Linked DNA regions of Stegostoma tigrinum. The protein of the gene in region 2 purifies or fractionates together with the protein of the main gene of each other region. This does not show direct contact. Links are inferred from orthologs where the notes say so. Each region holds a gene or a part of one and is shown on either strand. Other genes may lie near its edges.

What was found.
Region 1: the proteins of rpa2 (region 2) and hltf purify together in Homo sapiens (affinity purification with mass spectrometry, with the first as the bait; 3 studies listed by BioGRID). This does not show direct contact. The link is inferred for Stegostoma tigrinum from reciprocal best matches to the Homo sapiens genes RPA2 and HLTF.

The regions. Positions count from the first base shown.
Region 1 is NC_081367.1:68,337,750-68,348,055, reverse strand, and holds the start of hltf (helicase-like transcription factor), read right to left. Parts: upstream 4,517-10,306; 5' UTR 4,423-4,516; coding exon 4,379-4,422; intron 4,371-4,378; exon of another isoform or gene 4,264-4,370; intron 4,167-4,263; exon of another isoform or gene 4,026-4,166; intron 3,590-4,025; exon of another isoform or gene 3,480-3,589; intron 2,434-3,479; coding exon 2,205-2,433; intron 1-2,204. UniProt on the Homo sapiens protein: Has both helicase and E3 ubiquitin ligase activities. Possesses intrinsic ATP-dependent nucleosome-remodeling activity; This activity may be required for transcriptional activation or repression of specific target promoters.
Region 2 is NC_081377.1:37,459,756-37,469,569, forward strand, and holds the start of rpa2 (replication protein A 32 kDa subunit), read left to right. Parts: upstream 1-5,243; 5' UTR 5,244-5,718; intron 5,719-9,814. UniProt on the Homo sapiens protein: As part of the heterotrimeric replication protein A complex (RPA/RP-A), binds and stabilizes single-stranded DNA intermediates that form during DNA replication or upon DNA stress.

The DNA of each region.
Region 1 (10,306 bases), on a different chromosome or scaffold from region 2:
AAATTGACACACATACAAAAACATCTTGAATAAAAATGTTGGTCTTTTCATTGCAATGAGGCCGAAATTCAAAAATAAAGGAATGGGTGCTACAGTTGTCCAGACACTTCTTCTGACCTCATCAGGGACACTGCAATCTACGTGGGACACTTCATCTCAGGTAGATTAAAAACCAGCCTGGGAGATGACATGGGTAGATTAACCAGAACGACACTTCACTCTGAGTTAAATTAGGAAGACAGGTCGCATAAACTTGGTTAATAAAATGTGAGGCTGGATGAACACAGCAGGCCCAGCAGCATCTCAGGAGCACAAAAGCTGACGTTTCGGGGCTAGACCCTTCATCAGAGAGGGGGATGGGGTGAGGGTTCTGGAATAAATAGGGAGAGAGGGGGAGGCGGACCGAAGATGGAGAGAAAAGAAGATAGGTGGAGAGAGTATAGGTGGGGAGGTAGGGAGGGGATAGGTCAGTCCAGGGAAGACAGACAGGTCAAGGAGGTGGGATGAGGTTAGTAGGTAGGAGATGGAGGTGCGGCTTGGGGTGGGAGGAAGGGATGGGTGAGAGGAAGAACAGGTTAGGGAGGCAGAGACAGGTTGGACTGGTTTTGGGATGCAGTGGGTGGAGGGGAAGAGCTGGGCTGGTTGTATGGTGCAGTGGGGGGAGGGGACGAACTGGGCTGGTTTAGGGATGCAGTGGGGGAAGGGGAGATTTTGAAGCTGGTGAAGTCCACATTGATGCCATTAGGCTGCAGGGTTCCCAAGCGGAATATGAGTTGCTGTTCCTGCAACCTTCGGGTGGCATCATTGTGGCACTGCAGGAGGCCCATGGCTTCCCCATCCCACTCGTCATGCACAAACAAACTGGAGAAATTGAAGGAATGTAGGTGGAATGTTTAGATTGAGATGTAAAGGTCTGAGTATTCAGGGGTCTGGATCAGAGGTAAGTAAATTGAATTAATGGACAGATCATTGTCTTCTAAGAAAAAGGAAAATAAGACCCTGTTCCTATCGTTATAAAGTTGTAATCAGATCAGTGAGATTGTTCACAAATAATAAACTATAGATTTCACAGCAGACAACTGAGCCCATTTACTTTTCAAAATGCACAACATCTTCAATTTGTCTGGAATGTCTAATAAGCAATGCCTTTCATGAAGTTAAATATTGGGAAGGCTGAAGGCACCCTCTTTGGTTCCCATCACAAACTCTGTTCCCTTGCTCCTGGTTCCATCCTTCTCCCTGGCATTTTCCAAGACTAAAACAGATGGTGCAACCCAGGTAGACAGAATTCATCCTGAGATGAGATCACAGGCACATGTCCATGTAAGTACAAGGACCTAATCCATCTACCTGTGAAATGCCTGACTTTGCCCCCAGTTCAACTCCTGTGTTGCTCAAACCCTTTTCACTGTTTTTACTCCTAGTCTTGATTTTTCCAACACAATTTTAGCTGGCCTCCCATATTCTACTTTTCCACAAACTTGACATTGTCCAAAATTCTGCTATCCCCATCCATATTCGTACAGAGTCCCACTCATCCATCACTCCAGGAAGCACGGATGTCGGGTCAAGCAACATGGCCGCTTAAAAATTCTTATCGCAATTCTCAAGAATCTCCATGGCCTGGCCCCTCCCTATCTCTATCATCAACTCCAGCCCCACAACCCTCTGGTGTACCTGCACTCATCTATTTCTGACCTCTTGAACCTATTATTTTAAATGGTGATACTTTCTTTTCAAACTTAACCTATTCGGAGATGTCAGTACTCTGGAGTAAGTGGGACTCGAACCAGGGTCGACTCGACCAGAGATAAAGGACACCATCGCTGCACTACCATAGCCCCTCCTCCCTCAATTTTAATTGGTCCACAATAGGTAGAAGTGCCTTTAGCTGTCTAAGTTTGACCATTTCTTCAGTAACCTGCCCATTACTCTTCTTCCCTTCCATCCACTGAGACACTCCTTAAAATCTACTGCTTTGGTCATCTGGCCCTATGTTGGTTTATGGGGCTAAGTATCTTTAAAATACTCCCACGACGCAACTTAGGTCTTTTTGCTGTGGGAGAGGTATTATATAAATGTACTTTTAGGTTTTTGAATCCCAACTGTTAAATCAATAATAAATAGGTAACTGAAGGTATGGCAAATTGAAGATTTAAACGCAGCTATTTAATATTACGCTAGATTGGAGGGACAAGTCTTACCACTCCTGTATAATAACGCATCCCAACCACATTCCCACGGAGGTTTCCAAATAAAACAGAATCCAGATCCTCATCTGGTGACGCAGTGTCATCTGTTAACGAACGATTTATCATCTGAGATAATGACTCTTCAGGATCCGGAGCAAATAGAAAACTGCCATCAGAAAACTGGGATGCAGTTCGTCCACCCAGATACTGGGAATTAGTCCAATTCCGCCAGAACAACATGCTGCGGGAACAAAAGAAAACCATGATTTGTAACCCTCCTCGAGAGAAATGACAAGGTATTTAAACTGACGGAAAACTCTTCTGTCCTCGAGCCTAGCAAATCTTTGTTGCTGTGCCCATCATAAACTCTCAGTTTTAAGAGCTCCTGCAAGATTAAAGAAACAGATTCCCACATATGTTTGCTTTGGAAATGCTGCATGATCCCTCACAGTAGAATGACATCTCTGAGCACACACTGTAATCAGCAAGTGGTGGCACCTATCTGACAGCTTGAGTTAGTCTTGCTTTACACATCATCTGGAAGCACAGAGCATTTTACACTTTACAAGAGAAAAAATAAACGAAGGTGCTCTGCTGTGACTTCAAATAAACCTGTTGGACTATAACTTGGAGTCGTGTGACTTCTGACTTCGTCCAAGAAAGAAAAATGGAGGGTTAAAAAACGTCTTTGTTATACTGCTTAATGGAGTGAAATTCAGCCGTTCAAAATTAGCACTTCAAGTAAGAAACTGCTACCTACTTACACTCTCCCTAATAGCATTAGAACACAATTAGCACATTGATGTAATTAGACAGAAATAGTGGAGAAACTCAGCAGGTCTGGCAGCATCTGAAGACAGAAAGAGAGTTAACATTTTGGGTTCAGTGACCCATCTTCAGAACTGGCATGTAGAATTTAGCATGCAGGTAGTTTACACAGATTGCATAACCATTATTCAGCCATGTTTTGGCATAGCATGGTATCCTGCAGATAAAACCCATTTTGCCAGGCAGTCTTACTAGTGCCTCACATACCTAGGCACGGAAAAGCTTATGTAGGAAGGGTCACCGGGCCCTAAACGTTAACTCTGACTTTTTCCTTCACAGGTGCTGCCAGATCTGCTGAGCTTTTCCAGCAATTTCTGTTTTCGTTCCTGATTTACAGCATCCGCAGTTCTTTCAGTTTTTTTTAAGTTATGTAGGTAGGTGGTCCACCGTGGAGCAGATTATCATAAACCCATCACTAGTTAACACAAGTTTTACTTGACTATTTTTCACTAAACGGACCCGATAATGTTAGCAGATTCGAACACTTTTGCTAAACAGAGACCTCCCTGAACAGTATATTTTGTTCCCTTTGAATTTGCATCTTTGACCCAGCGCCTGGATTTGATGCAGATAACAGACCGGGGAGTAAAAGGCTCCTGACTAAAAAGCAACAACATATTGAGGCTGGGAGTGACGATGAACGCTGTGTTGGTGGGTGTTTTTTCTGGAAATGTTGTCATGCACTCAAGAAAAAAACACAACAACAAAATCTCCCCTTGGCTGTGGCTGAGTATGTCAGGCCCCAAAAACAAGGCTTGCTGTTGGTGAGTCATTCTCTCCATGCCGCCTGCAGCCAGCCCCTGCTCCTGACATTTACCTGAGACTACAAACCTTTTATGCAAAAATAGGACGGCATGATGTGAAGGCAGATTGCTTTGAGCTTCCAGCACTGCATTTCTAGCCAGCGCTCTAGGTTTTGTGCAGAGCTCTGCAATAAAGCCTTCTCCAAACACTTTTCTTTTGCTGCTCTTAAACCGCAACGCGCGCAGAAAAGCTTTATTCTACCTCTGCAAATAATCTTCAGACCAAAATCAAATCTTCCCTCCTGCCAGTGACTTGCAAAGGGTATCTTTCGTATAAAAACAAAGGCCAAACATAAAGCCCGGCCACTCCACAAACCCAGCTCCTTTCACTTTCGCCCTGGCTGGCGCGGTTCCTGCTGATTGACACGGCTCTCAGCCACACAGAGCAGCCCTTCACCAGGCAGCAACGTATCAGGGCAAGGAGTGGGTGGGACACTCACCCATGGACGAGATACAACCTCTCGATACATTGTGGCGGCTGACCAGCTAGTGATCCCCATTCATGAAGACAGCATGGTACTATTCGTACAGGTGGTGCAGTGGCAGTGTCCCTACCTCTGAGCCAGGGCAAAGTCAGAAGTCACACGACACCAGGTCATGGTCCAACAGGTTTATCCGAAATCGCAAGCTTTCGAGGCATTGCCCCGACTTCACCTGACGAAGGAACAGCGCTTCAAACTTTGTGATCTCAAATGGAGAGAGTAGGAACTGCTGATGCTGGAGAATCTGAGATAACAAGGTGTAGAACTGAATGAACACAGGAGGCCAAGCAGTATCAGAGGAGCAGGAAAGCTGACGTTTCGGGTCAGGACTGAAGGGTCTTAAGGGTCCTGACGTGAAACATCAAGCCTTCCTGCTCCTCTGATGCTGCTTGGCCTGCTGTGTTCATCCAGCCTCACACCGTGGTTTCAAGTAGATTTGTTGGACTATAACTTGGTGTCGTGTCACTTCTGACTTTGTCTACCCCGGTTCAAAACCAAAACCAGCACCTCCACGTCTGAGCCAGAAGGCCTGGGTTCAAGTCTCACCTGTGCCAGAGGTGTGTAATGACATCTCTAAACAGGTTGATTGAGAAATGTTTAGATTTTCTTTTAAATTAACTAGTTCAGGGATGTTAGTACATACCTCTGGAGCAGGTGGGAATTAAACCCAGCCCTCATTAACCCAGGGGTAGGGACATTAGCATTGTGCCCCAAGAACCCCTCACCCAGAGGTAGGGGCATTACTAATATGCCTCAAGAAACCCCTTACTCAGAGACATTGACATTAGCATTGTGCACAAGAGCCCCTAACTCACAGGTAGGGACAATACCAATATGCCACAAGAACCCACTAACTCAAAGAGAGCAACATTAGCATTGTGCCACAACAGCTCCTAACCCAGAGTAGGGACATTACTAATAATGCCTTAAGAGCCCCCCCCCCCAGCTCAGAGGTAGGGACACTACAAGAGCCCGTAATTTTGGAGATATTACATTTGTTCTTTGCTTCCAGCTGTCCCCTAATTAACAGAGATGTTATGACACACTTCTGGATCTGGTGAGATTTGAACCCAAGCCTTCTAACTCAAAGGTAGAGACATTACTATTGTGCAAGAACAGGTCCCCAGTTCAGAGGTAGGGATATGTCTATTACATCAAAAGAGCCCTTAAAATTGGAAATATTACTTTTGATCTAAATTCAGTTCTGAGGAAGGCATACCGGACTTGAAAAGTTAACTCTGGTTTGTCCTGTATAAAAACAAGCAAAGCTGGAAATATTCTGCTGGCGCAGCAGACAGAAACAAGAATTTCAATGTGCTTCAGATCTGCAACTTTTCATAAAATGTTAACTCATGTTTCCCTCAATCTGCAGATACTGCTTTGTTGAGCATCTCTTGCAATTTCTGTTATTACTTCAGATTTCCAGCGTGTGTCACTTTCATATTTTAGATATTAATTTTATTTAATCTCAGGGATCTTATTTCTCCTGCTCCATGCTGCAGAATGCCCTGGACGTTTTTCCCAATGTCATTTTTAGGCACACAAGCAGAGATAAAAACCGATTCTGATTTCCACAAGTGGGTTCCAATTCGTTCATCAAAGTTTAAAATACTCTTGTTCAACATAATGGTGGTTGAATTACACCTGAGTTCAGTAAACACTCTCATTAACACAATTAACAAATTGGGTCACCTTACCTCAACTGGTAATGTTATTGCTCCCTGATAAATTTTACTTTTTTGTACGCTGTTTGACATTTTTGATACACTAGTGCCTGTTGAAATTTAACTAATTTTGAGTTATATTTACTCCAAGAATTTGCCTTTATTTGCGCTAATTGTCATTGGATATTTCCAATCAATTTCCTATCAACAGGCCCATGAATAACAGTAACCTAGCATGGTGGGAAAATTGCTCAGTTGTGTGTGATAGGACTTCAGGGTGTAAAAATAAAAGCACACTAGCAGCTTAAAGCAGCCAGTATTGCAGATAGTGCAAGGTCTTTCATTCAAGTGACAGCTTGTTTGTCATTCAAATAGGTACAGGAGTACTTGCAATGCTGAATAAACGACATCTCTTCCCAAAAAGAGAAGAGAATTCATAGATTATAGACAAACCAAGTGTACCGGAAGCTGGATATTTAAAGGTCTTGAGTAGATTGCAGCTCAATGCTGTGGTTGGTTGGCTCACCGAGCTGGTTCGTTAATTTGCAGATGTTTCATTACCCCGCTGGGTAACATCTTCAGTGCAGCCTCCGACAAAGTATTGTTGTGTCTTTCCTCCTGTTATTTAAACTCTGGGGTCCATTGGAGTTGATTACCTCATTTCTGGTTTTTCTTTGCAGTGATGCGCTTCTAGAGTCTAATTCTAGATGTTTATTGAGTACCCATTATGGACAGGGCCAACGTAATATACAAGATTTCATGCAAGGGCTGTGACAAACATTACATTGGACAGACAGGAAGGAAACTGGCTATGAGAATACATGAACACCAAGCAACAACAAAAAAAACACAACCAATACTCACTCGTCTCCATACATGCAGACAAGGAAAACCACCAGTTTGATGGGAAAATGTCAGGATCCTAGGACAAGCCAAACAAGAAGGCCATCAATAAGCACACAGAATTGGACCCTATGTACACACCACTGCAAAGAAAAACCTGAGGTGAGGTAATCAACTCCAGCGGTCCCCAGAGTTTAAATATTTAAGTGGGAAAACATAACACTTCATCGGAGGCTGTACTGATGATGCTATCCAGCAGGCTAATGAAACATCTGTGATTTAACAAACCAACCACAACAGGAAGCTGGGATAGATTGTGAAGTTTTTTTTTACATGGTTTGGACTTTCAAACCCAAACTTCCATCACAAATACAGGAAATGCTGGCAGTCAAGGTGCCAGAAAGTCATATCGATACTTCTTCAATACACAACCCTCGGGCTGGCTGTAAGCGGGTTTCCGCCCAGAGCTTTGTCACCTCTACGGTCTTGGCTTCCACTGTTCTCTGTTGTCTGTCAGGCCCAATTTCTCCAGCTATGGGTCAATCTAAAATGACCAATTTTGGGCCCGTGGTCATGATCACAAAAGGGAATTGGAACTTTAAAAAACCTTGAATTTTCAAAGAGAGAAGGAGATCAAAAAGCATGATCTGGATAGAGTGAAGCTTATTGTAAAAGGAGGGAAGAACAGATAGTCGCTCAGAGAATAATTCTGATACCTATGAAGGATTTGATTTTACCGTAAATCTGGTGTGGTGCCTAAATTCACTGATGCTGGTTTTAAATACATTTCACATCATTTTAAAAGATTGCTGGGAAGCTGAAATGGTCGAACCATATTTGGACCTTAATCTTCTTGGCTGTTCTTAAGTTTTTATTCATACTTCATCCAGCATAATTGCCTATCGATTTCACTTGACAAAGGAGCAGCATTCTGAAAGCTTGTGATTTTAAATAAATCTGTTGGACTATAACCTGGCATCATGAGATTTCTGACATTGTTCACCCCTGTCCAACATCCATGTCCCTACATCATCTCAATTGTAAGAGCTATTATGGATGGAGAATAAATGCCAGTCTGCACCACAAAACATGAACAAAAACATCTATTAATAATTGCTTACAGAACTCAAGGATTTTTAAAAAAGAGACTCAGAGCCAAAGCTATTTGTCTTTCACTGATTAGGACTGGTACACAAGATACCAAAAGGAACATCAATTTATACTACTTCTATAAAAGCTTTTGTTTATATTTCTATACTTGTATAAAGAGAGTGTTGATTGGTTGCATCTTAGTGGGTGTGGACATGCAGCAGGAAATGTTAACTGTCGATCTTTGTTAGCTAACTAAACTCATACCGGTAGATTTACTCAGACTGCCATGAGGAATGCAGGGAGGGGTTGTCGGTCTCCATTTTTCTCTTCAGTGAAAAATGTACAATATAAAAACAAATTCCTTTTCCTATTAAAAAAGGATCCAATCAATTTGTATATATTTTCTCAAGCTTTGTGAATTAATACTTGCTTTCTAATAAGGGTTTCCTGCATAATTTACAATCAAGTATTTTAATTATCAACACAAACATAAATATATCACCAAGATAACTGGGAAATTTATTTCCTGTAATTAAACATATTTCAAATGAGGCTTAAAGTAGACAATCCAGAACAGACATAAGTGTTCTAAATGAAGTCACACGTCCACACAGCTAGAATTTCAACATTAAAGCTGCAGTACTGGATTTTAGATGTTCACTTTTAGTAACAAGTTGCATCCATTTAAAACGGACTTTCTTGCAGATGTCAAACTTGGGCGGTCTTCACTAAATCCATCGGTCTGTCTTGATTAAAAAATGAAAATGAAATTGAATCAATTTAAAATTATCAGATAGTACATATTTACACTTTACACAACAAACTTCTGCTGCTTTATGTCTCCAGCTGAAGTAATGTTTTAATTCAATTGTTACTCCTTTTCATATCTATGGAAACAGTTTGTTTTCATTTCCTCTAACAAAACCCTTCAAATTCTGACAACTTCTAGTAAATCTACTTAACTAGAAGGAAACAGTATCTGCTTCTCACACCTCATCTCACATATCAATGTGAGGAAATGGCCTAATGGTATAAATACAGGACTGTTAATCCAAAGACAAAAGCAGAAGTTGCTAGAAAAGCTCAGTAGGTCTGGCAGCATCTGTGGAGAGAAATCAGAGTTAATGTTGTGGGTCCGATGACCCTTCCTCAGAACCTGAGCCGAAACATTAGCTCTGATTTCTCTCTACAGATGCTGCCAGTTCTGCTGAGCTTTTCAAACAATTTCTATTTTTGTTTCTGATTTACAGCATCTGCAGTTCTTGCAGTTTTTGTTAACCCAAAGACCCAGCTAATGTTCTGGGGATTTGGGCTCAAATTCCTCGACAGCAGATGGTGGAATTTGAATTTAATAGAATAAATCTGGAATTTGTAGGCTAAAGATGACTATAAATCCATTGCTGATATCAGGAAAAACCCATCTGGTTCACTAGCCTTAAGGGAAGGAAGCTGCCTTCCTTACCTGGTCTGGTCTACATGTGACTCCACACCTGTAGCAATATGGTTGACCCCTAAGAGTCCTCTGGCCTAGCCAGCAACACCCTCTTCCCATGAAATGAATGATAAATAAAAATTATAGCAGACTGAGATCACAAGAAAGTCTTATGCTAATTTTATGCAGATGATTCTTCACCAGCAGTGGGGTTTAAAATTGAACCATTAAATACACAAATATTGCATGCCATGTGTACTTCTGCTGCACATACCTAGGATTTATTTTTAAAAGCTTCCATTATCTACAGCTAATTCATATATTTCCATGATGAATGGATAGATCACATAGTTTACAATATACAGTTACATATAGAAATTGATATGTGAACAAGGAATCATTATGCCACATATGAAAATAAAGATGACTTCTCTCCAAGGTGTACTATGCGAAAACAGTCGGTTCTGGATTAAAGATAACAAGGTGTAGAGCTGGATGAACACAGCAGGCCAAGCAGCATCGGGGGAGCCGGAAGGCTGACGTTTCGGGCCTAGACCCTTCTTTTCTGAAGAAGGGTCTAGGCCCAAAACATCAGCCTTCCTGCTCCTCTGATGCTGCTTGGCCTGCTTGTTCATCCAGCTCTACACCTTGTTATCTCAGACTCTCGAGCATCTGCAGTTCCTACTATCTCTGTTCTGAATTGAAGGTTATTTGTATATGAAATTAAGAATACGAATTAAAATAGCAATAGCTTACAACCAATAAGCAGAAAATTTTATATGATTACCAGAATCAGTTTACATCCACAATGTTATTTATTATAATTTGGATAAACCACAAGTTAAAAAGTGTCTACATAAAATTTTCAAAGTGTTCAAAACGTATATGAAGAAAGCCAACTTCACACTGTTGATTTTTCTGACCTCCAACTAGGGACAAGAATGAGAAATACACAAGTGACTGTCAACGT
Region 2 (9,814 bases):
GCCTCCTGTGGCACCTTGTCAAAGGCCTTCTGGAAATCGAAATAGATCACATCCGCTGACTTCGCTTTGTGTAATTTGCATGTTCCCTCTTCAAAGAATTCTAACAGAAATGTCAGGCAGAACCCCCTCTTAATGAAATTATACTGACTCATCTCTATGTTCCTATGCACTTCCGAGTACCTTATTCTTAATAATGGGCTCTAAATCTTACTGATGATTGGAGTCAGATTCAAAAACAAAGTTGCTGGAAAAACTCAGCAGGTCTGGCAGCATCTGTGAAGGAAAAATCAAAATTAATATTTTGGGTCCGGTGATCCTTCCTCAAAACCCTGCTGAGCTTTTCCAGCAGCTTTGTTTTTGTTCCTGATTTACAGCATCCACAGTACTTTCAGTTTTATTTGAAGTCAGACTAATTGGTCTACAATTTCCCATCTTTGGCTTCCTTCCCTTCTTAAACAGACGTGTTACATTAGCCATTTTCCAGTCCACTGGGACCTTCACTGACTTCAGTGATTCCTGAAAGACCACCACAATTTCCTTAGACCTGTCCTTCAGTACCCTGGGGTGTGGACCATCTGGGCAAGGTGTATTATCCACCTTTCAACTTCTTCTGCACCTTCTCCCAATTGATGGCCATTACACTCAACTTGTGATAGAATATTAGTGAATGCAGGGAATCAGAGAAGCTTCAAACTGAAGGAGTTGATTTAACTCAGGAAAGGGAAGCTAGTGTGCCGTACTGAATTTTCCTTACTCTCTCTCTGTATTTATATTGGGAAATTAAATACCAAACTGGAGAGGTCATGCTTTAGTTTCTTTTATTCATTCATGGGATGTGGGCGTCACTGGCTAGGCCAGTAATTTGTTGCCCATCCCTAACTGCCCAGGGGACAGCTAAGTGTCAGCCAACATTGCTGTGGGTCTGGAGTCACATGTAGCCTAGAATAAGAAAAGGATGACAATTTCCATCCCCAAAGGACATTCGGAACCAAACGGGTTTTTCCTGACAATCAACAATGGTTTCGTGGTCCTCGTTCACCTCTTAATTCCACATTTTTACTTGAATTCAAATTCCTCCATCTACTATGTCAGGATTCAAACTGAGGCCCCCAGGACTTTACCAAGATCTCTGGCCTAATAGTCTAGTGATGATACTACTAGGCCATTGCCTACCCTTTTAATACAGGGTATTGGGGAGATTTGTGCTTCTGAGGCTTTATAAAGCTCAAGTTAGGCCCCATTTAGAATACTGTGTCCAATTTTGGGCCCCACACCTCAGGAAGGACATAATGACACTGGAGCATGTCCAGCGGAGATTCACACAGATGATCCCTGGAATGGTAGGTTTAACATACGATGAATGGCTGAGGATCCTGGGATTGTATTCATTACAGTTTAGAAGGTTGAGGGGAGATCTAATAGAAACTTACAAGATAATGTATGGCTTAGAGAGGGTGGATGCTGGCAAGTTGTTTCCATTAGGTGGGGAGACTAGGACCAGTGGGCACAGCCTTATAACTAGAGGGGGTAAATTTAAAATGGAAATGAGGAGACATTTCTTCAGCCAGAGAGTGGTGGGCCTGTGGAATTCATTGCCACGGACCACAGTGGAGGCCAGGACATTAAATATCTTCAAGGCAGAGATTGATAAATTCTTGATCTCACAAGGAATCAAGGGCTACAGGGAGAGTGCGGGTAAGTGGAGTTGAAATGCCCATCAGCCACGATTAAATGGCGGAGTGGACTCGATGGGCCGAATGGCCTTATGGACTGCATGTGTAGTACTGCGTTCAGTATTGATCTCGTTGATTAAGGAAGGATGTAAATTTGTTGCAAATAATTCAGAGAAGATTTAACAGCTGGAATGAGTGAATTTTCTTATGAAGAAAGGTTAGCACGTTCTGATTGTATGTACTGGAGTTTCGAAGACAAAACAAAGACTTGACTGAAACAAAGGCTTGATAGGGTGAGTATGGAAACGATGTTTCCTCTAGTGGGACAATCTAGACTTTGGGGTCACTGCTCAAAAATAAGGCCTGCCTGTTTAAAGCAGAAAAGAAATACTTTCTTAGCGGAGTCTTTGTAATGATCTTTTTAATGGCAGAGCAGCTTCCTCCTGTTCCTAATTCATGTGTGGCATATATATTTGCATGTTAATACATGTTAAGCATGGTGGTGTTCTACAACTGTACAATTCACAGTGTTAAACATCATCTGGGCAGTTGAACCAACTAAGTATGCTCATGATAGTTCACAGGGAGTAAACTAAAATCTGTGATCATACCTTTTTCCTGTTGCATATCATCTCTGAATGGGATGTTATGACAATAGACCAAGAACGACAAATCTGTTTTTCTTATGGCTAACTGTTGGATGAAGCCATGTGTGTAATTTCAATAGTGCCTTCGCTTCTGCGGTCCGAAAGCCGTGGTTTCCAATACCACACCAGATATTTAGTATACAATTTCAAGTGATGGTCTAGTGCAGTACTAGAAGAATGGCACACTTTCACAAGTGTTAACTTTCAGGTGGGATATTAAACTGAGGCTAGACTGCTCTGCTCTGTTAAGCTAATGTTAGAAGAGCTCATGCCACTGTTTTGAAATGAAACTATGCAATTCTTCCTGTGTGACTTGGACAAGAGATCCTCATCAACCATTACTGGTTATCTGGTTGTTTGTGCTACCTTACTCTGTGTAAGACAGCTGCTACATTTCCTACAACAGTGACTACAGTTCAAAAAATACTTAATTGTCTGGAATGCACTTTGGGACATCTGGAAGCCTGAGGAAAGTGCAAATCTTTCCTTAGTTATAATTCCACCAAACAGATACTTTAAAAAAACGATTAGATCAGAAACATTCAGATATACAATAATGGATTTTCATAATGTCCAAAAGGAGATAGAAAGCAAGTTCTCATGAACAGCAAGGTCACATCTCACTCCCTTACCACTAGAATCTTGTGACCAAGTCCACAGACTGAATCATGAACTCACAACATTGATTTGGGGATCAGAGGTAGGTAACTTACATTGTCATGAAATCGAAGAGTCATGCAGCATGGAAACAGGACCTTTGGTCCAACTCATCCACAATGACCAGACATCCCAGTCTGACCTAGCCCTATTTGCCAGCATTTGGTTCATATTCCTTTAAATCCTTCCTACAATTTACTCATCCAAGTGCCTTTTTAATGTTGTAACTGTATCCAACTCCTCCACTTCCTCCAGCAGCTCATTCCATACACACACCATTCTCTGTGTGGAAAAAGTTACCCCTAAGATCCTTTTTAAATCTTTCCCTTCTCACCTCAAACCTCTACTTTTGGACTCCCCACCCTAGGAAATATATTTTGGCTATTCACCCTGTCCATGTCTCTCATGATTTTATAAACCTCCATAAGGTTACCCCTCAGTCTCCGACACTACGGCTAAAAAAAAACCCAGCCTATTCAGCCACTCCCTATCAGTCAAACCTTTCAGTCCTGACAACATCCTTGTAAATCTTTTCTGTGACCTCTAAAGTTTAACAACATCCTTGCTTTAGAAGAACAACCAAAATTGTATGCAATATTCGAAAAGTGGCCTCACCAATGTCCTACATAGCTGCAACATGACATTCCAACTCCTAAACTCAATGTTATGACCAATTAAGGCAAGCATGCCAAACATTTTCTTCACCACCCTGTCTACCTGTGACTCCACTTTCAAGGATCGATGTACAAGTTGTTGGAGGTGATGCTGAGAGACCGGATTTACATGCATTTGGAGAGCAGGAACTAATTAGGGATAGTCAGCATGGCTTTGTGTGTTGGAAATCATATTTCACAAAATTGATTTGAGTTTTTCAGGACATATTCAAAAAGATTAACGAGGGCGGAGAGGTAGATGTTGTCTACGTGGACTTTAACAAAGCCTTTGATAAGGTTCCGCATGGTAGACTGATTAGCAAAGTTAGCTCACATGGGATTCAAGGACACCTTTTTCGGTTGGATACAAAATTGATTTGACAGGGCACAGAGGGTGGTGGTGGAGGGTTGTTTTTCAGACTGGAGGCTCCTCTGACCAGTGGTGTTCTGCAGGGATGAACACTGGGTCCACTGTTATTCGTCATTTACATAAAAGATTCAAAGGAGAATTTAGGATGCAGGGTTCTTAAGTTTGCAGATGACACCAAAATTGGTTGTATAGTCAACAGCGAAGGTTATCTAAGAATACAAAGAGATCTTGATCAATTAGGCCAATGGGCTGCGGAGTAGCAGACGGAGTTTAATTTGGATAAATGCAAGGCAAAGCGAACAAGGGCAGGACTTATACAGTTAATGGTAGGGCCCTGAGTAGTATTGTTGAACAGAGACCTAGGGGTCCAAGTACATAATTCTTTGAAAGCTGTGTCACAGGTAGACAGGGTGGTTAAGAAGGCATTTAGCATGCTTGCCTTCATTGCTCAGACCACTGAATTTATGGGTTGGGACGTAATGTTGAGGCTGTACAGGATGTTGGTGAGGCCTCTTTTGGAGTACCATGTCCAGTTCTGGTCACCCTGCTGTAGGAAGGATATTATTAAATTAGAGAAGGTTCAGAAAAGATTTACCAGAATGTTACGAGAACTGGAAAGTTTGAGTTATAGGAAGAAGGTGGATAGGCTGGGACTATTCACTGCAATGTAGGAGGTTAAGGGGTGACTGTAGCGGTTTATAAAATCATGACAGGCATAGATAAGATTAACAGCAAAGGTCTTTTCCCTCAGGTTGGAGAGGTGGGGGAACGGGAACTGGGATGGTGTCCAAAACCAGTGGGTATATTTTTAAGGTGACAGGAGAACGATTTAAAAGGGATCTAAGAAGCAATATTTTCACACAGAGGGTCATTCATATGAACTGCCAGCAGAAGTGGTAGATGCAGGTAAAATTACAACATTTAAAAGTCATTTGAACAGGTGCATGAATAGGAATGGTTTAGAGGGATGTGGGCCAAAAATCGGCAAATGGGACTAGTTTTTGTTTGGGAGTCTTGGTTGGCATGGACAAGTTGGACCGAAGGATGTGTTCCTGTGCTTTATGGCTCTGAGGGTGCTATGCACATAATTTCAGCTGGAGTATGGAATCATATTGTGATATGAAGGCTATGAATAAGAAACAACATTGTTGTTTTGATCACACTGATGTTATTTCTGAACTAGTCAGATTCCAGACTGAAACATGGATTGATAAATCATTTTTGCTTTTTGAGTGCGAGCAGCAGCGGAGGCAAGACGGACCCGGAAGACTGCAGCTAAGGTAAAGCAGTTTATTTTTAAAATTACTTACCGGTAGCGGGCAGCGGTGTTTTTTTTGCTCTTTCAGAGAAGGAGCGGGAGCATCAGAGGAAGTGACGAGGACCAGAGGGGCAGCCGGGAAGGAAAGCAGTGAGTATAAATACTCACCCTTCGACGCCAACGGCCTTTTTGAGTGCGAGCAGCAGCGGAGGCAAGACGGACCCGGAAGACTGCAGCTAAGGTAAAGCAGTTTATTTTTAAAATTACTTACCGGTAGCGGGCAGCGGTGTTTTTTTTGCTCTTTCAGAGAAGGAGCGGGAGCATCAGAGGAAGTGACGAGGACCAGAGGGGCAGCCGGGAAGGAAAGCAGTGACCATATATCTCAGCAAGGCGGCTTAACCTGAGACTCTACAACTGTAGTGTCTCCCACCCGCCCTCCTCCTCTAACCTAGTTAATAAGGTAAGGTTCATTCTAAACTTTCTCTATTGAACATAAGTTTGTTATTAATTTGTTATTATTACTTGAAGTGAGCTTTCTGCTTTAGTACTGAGTGGGTGTTCAGATAAGTGGGGTATGGATGCTAGGGCAGTTGCTTGCTCCTCCTGCAGAATGTGGCAGTTGGGAGATGTGGCACACGTCTCCGCTGGCTACATCTGTGGGAAGTGCACCCAGCTACAGCTCCTTGAAAACCGTGTTAGGGAAATGGAGCTGGAGCTGGATGAACTACGGATCATTCGGGAGGCAGAGGGGGTAATTGAGAGGAGTTATCGGGAGTTGGTCACTCCTAAGGCTCAGGACGAGGATAGATGGGTTACAGTTAGGGGGAGGAAAGGGGACAGACAGACAGTGCAGAGATCCCCTGTGGGCATTCCCCTCAGCAATAAGTATACCGTTTTGGATACTGCTGGGGGGGTTGACCTACCAGAGGAAAGCCATAGTAGTCAGTTCTCTGGCACTGAGTCTGACACTGTGGCAAAGAAGGGAAGGGGGCAGAATAGAAAAGTACTCGTGGTAGGGGACTCGATAGTTAGGGGAATCGACAGGAGATTTTGTGGGCAAGATCGGGATTCCCGGAAGGTATGTTGCCTCCCTGGTGCCAGGGTCCGGGACGTCTCCGATCGGGTGTATAAAGTTCTGAAAGGGGAGGGTGAACAGCCAGAAATCGTGTTACATATTGGCACAAATGATATAGCCAGAAATAGGTTTGAGGATATAAAAAGTGATTTCAGGGAGTTAGGATGGAAGCTGCAGAGCAGGACGAACAGAGTAGTGTTCTCTGGTTTACTACCGGTGCCACGAGATAGCGAGGTGAGGAACAGGGAGCGGGCGCAGCTGAACACGTGGCTACGCAGCTGGTGTAGGAGGGAGGGTTTCAGATATGTTGATAATTGGGATGCCTTCTGGGGAAGGTGGGACCTGTACAAGAAGGACGGGTTGCATCTGAACTGGAAGGGGACCAATGTCCTGGGTGGAAGGTTTGCTCGAGTAGTTCGAGAGGGTTTAAACTAGTATGGCAGGGGGGGTGGGAACCTGAGCTGTATACCAGAGGTGAGCGTTGATGCAGGTGAGGCAGTAGCAAGAGGTAGACCAGCTAGTGGGAAGGATTTTCCTGGGAAGGAACCAAGGGATCGGTTAAAGTGTGTTTGCTTTAATGCAAGGAGTATCAGGAATAAAAGTGATGAACTTAGAGCATGGATCAGTACCTGGTGCTATGATGTTGTGGCCATAACAGAGACATGGGTTTCTCATGGGCTGGAATGGTTGCTGGATATTCCAGGGTTTAGAACATTTAAAAAGAATAGGGAGGGGGGAAAAAGAGGAGGGGGTGTAGCACTACTAATCAGAGAGGGTATCACAGCTACAGAAGCTTCCATTGTCGAGGAAGATCTGCCTACTGAGTCAGTATGGGTGGAAATTAGGAACAGCAAGGGAGTAGTCACCTCGTTAGGGGTTTACTACAGGCCCCCCAATAGCAGCAGGGAGATTGTAGAAAGCATAGGTTGACAGATTTTGGAAAAGTGTGGACGCAGTAGGGTTGTTGTAATGGGTGACTTTAACTTTCCTAATATTGATTGGAACCTCCTTCGAGCAGAAGATTTGAATGGAGCTGTTTTTGTAAGGTGTGTTCAGGAGGGTTTCCTAACGCAGTACGTTGACAGGCCGACGAGGGGAGAGGCCATTCTAGACTTGGTGCTCGGAAACGAGCCGGGGCAGGTATCAGATCTTGTGGTGGGAGAGCATTTTGGTGATAGTGACCATAACACTCTCTCATTCTACATAGCTATGGAGAAGGAGAGGATTAGGCAGAATGGGAGGATATTTAATTGGGGAAGAGGAAACTATGATGCGATTAGACACGAGTTAGGAAGCATGGACTGGGAGCAGTTGTTCCATGGTAAGGGAACTATAGACATGTGGAGATGGTTTAAGGAACAGTTGTTGGGAGTGATGAGTAAATATGTCCCTCTGAGACAGGCAAGACGGGGTAAGATAAAGGAACCTTGGATGACGAGAGCGGTGGAGCTTCTAGTGAAAAGGAAGAAGGTAGCTTACATAAGGTGGAGGAAGCTAGGGTCAAGTTCAGCTAGAGAGGATTACATGCAGGCAAGGAAGGAGCTCAAAAATGGTCTGAGGAGAGCCAGGAGGGGGCACGAGAAAGGCTTGGCAGAAGGAATCCGGGAAAACACAAAGGCATTTTACACTTACGTGAGGAATAAGAGAATGGTCAAAGAAAGAGTAGGGCCGATCAGGGATAGCATAGGGAACTTGTGTGTGGAGCCTGAGGAGGTAGGGGAAGCCCTAAATGAGTTTTTTGCTTCTGTCTTTACGAAAGAAACGACCTGTGTAGTGAATGAAACCTTTGAAGAGCAGGTGTGCATGCTGGAATGGATAGAGATAGAGGAAGCTGATGTACTGAAAATTTTGTCAAACATTAAGATTGACAAGTCGCCAGGCCCGGATCAGATTTGTCCTCGGCTGCTTTGGGAAGCGAGAAATGCAATTGCTTCGCCACTTGCGAAGATCTTTGCATCCTCGCTCTCCACTGGAGTCGTACCTGAGGACTGGAGAGAGGCAAATGTAATTCCTCTCTTCAAGAAAGGAAATAGGGAAATCCCCGGCAATTATAGACCGGTAAGTCTCACGTCTGTCGTCTGCAAGGTGTTAGAAAGGATTCTGAGGGATAAGATTTATGACCATCTGGAAGAGCATGGCTTGATCAAATACAGTCAACACGGCTTTGTGAGGGGTAGGTCATGCCTTACAAACCTTATCGAGTTTTTTGAGGATGTGACTAGTAAGGTTGATGAGGGTCAAGCTGTGGATGTGGTGTATATGGACTTCAGTAAGGCATTTGACAAGGTTCCCCATGGAAGGCTCATTCAGAAGGCCAGGAGGAATGGGATACAGGGGAACTTAGCTGTCTGGATACAGAATTGGCTGGCCAACAGAAGACAGCGAGTGGTAGTAGAAGGAAAATATTCTGCCTGGAAGTCAGTGGTGAGTGGGGTTCCACAGGGCTCTGTCCTTGGGCCTCTACTGTTTGTAATTTTTATTAATGACTTGGACGAGGGAATTGAAGGATGGGTCAGCAAGTTTGCAGACGACACAAAGGTCGGAGGTGTCGTTGACAGTGTAGAGGGCTGTTGTAGGCTGCAGCGGGACATTGACAGGATGCAGAGATGGGCTGAGAGGTGGCAGATGGAGTTCAACCTGGATAAATGCGAGGTGATGCATTTTGGAAGGTCGAATTTGAAAACTGAGTACAGGATTAAGGATAGGATTCTTGGCAGCGTGGAGGAACAGAGGGATCTTGGTGTGCAGATACATAGATCCCTTAAAATGGCCACCCAAGTGGACAGGGTTGTTAAGAAAGCATATGGTGTTTTGGCTTTCATTAACAGGGGGATTGAGTTTAAGAGTCGTGAGATCTTGTTGCAGCTCTATAAAACTTTGGTTAGACCGCACTTGGAATACTGCGTCCAGTTCTGGGCGCCCTATTATAGGAAAGATGTGGATGCTTTGGAGAGGGTTCAGAGGAGGTTTACCAGGATGCTGCCTGGACTGGAGGGCTTATCTTATGAAGAGAGGTTGACTGAGCTCGGTCTCTTTTCATTGGAGAAAAGGAGGAGGAGAGGGGACCTAATTGAGGTATACAAGATAATGAGAGGCATAGATAGAGTCGATAGCCAGAGACTATTTCCCAGGGCAGAAATGGCTAGCACGAGGGGTCATAGTTTTAAGCTGGTTGGTGGAAAGTATAGAGGGGATGTCAGAGGCAGGTTCTTTACGCAGAGAGTTGTGAGAGCATGGAATGCGTTGCCAGCAGCAGTTGTGGAAGCAAGGTCATTGGGGTCATTTAAGAGACTGCTGGACATGCATATGGTCACAGAAATTTGAGGGTGCATCCATGAGGATCAATGGTCGGCACAACATTGTGGGCTGAAGGGCCTGTTCTGTGCTGTACTGTTCTATGTTCTATTAAAAAGTGAGAGAACTGTGGATGCTGTAAACCAGAAACAAAAACAAGAACAGAAATTGCTCGAAAAGCTCAACA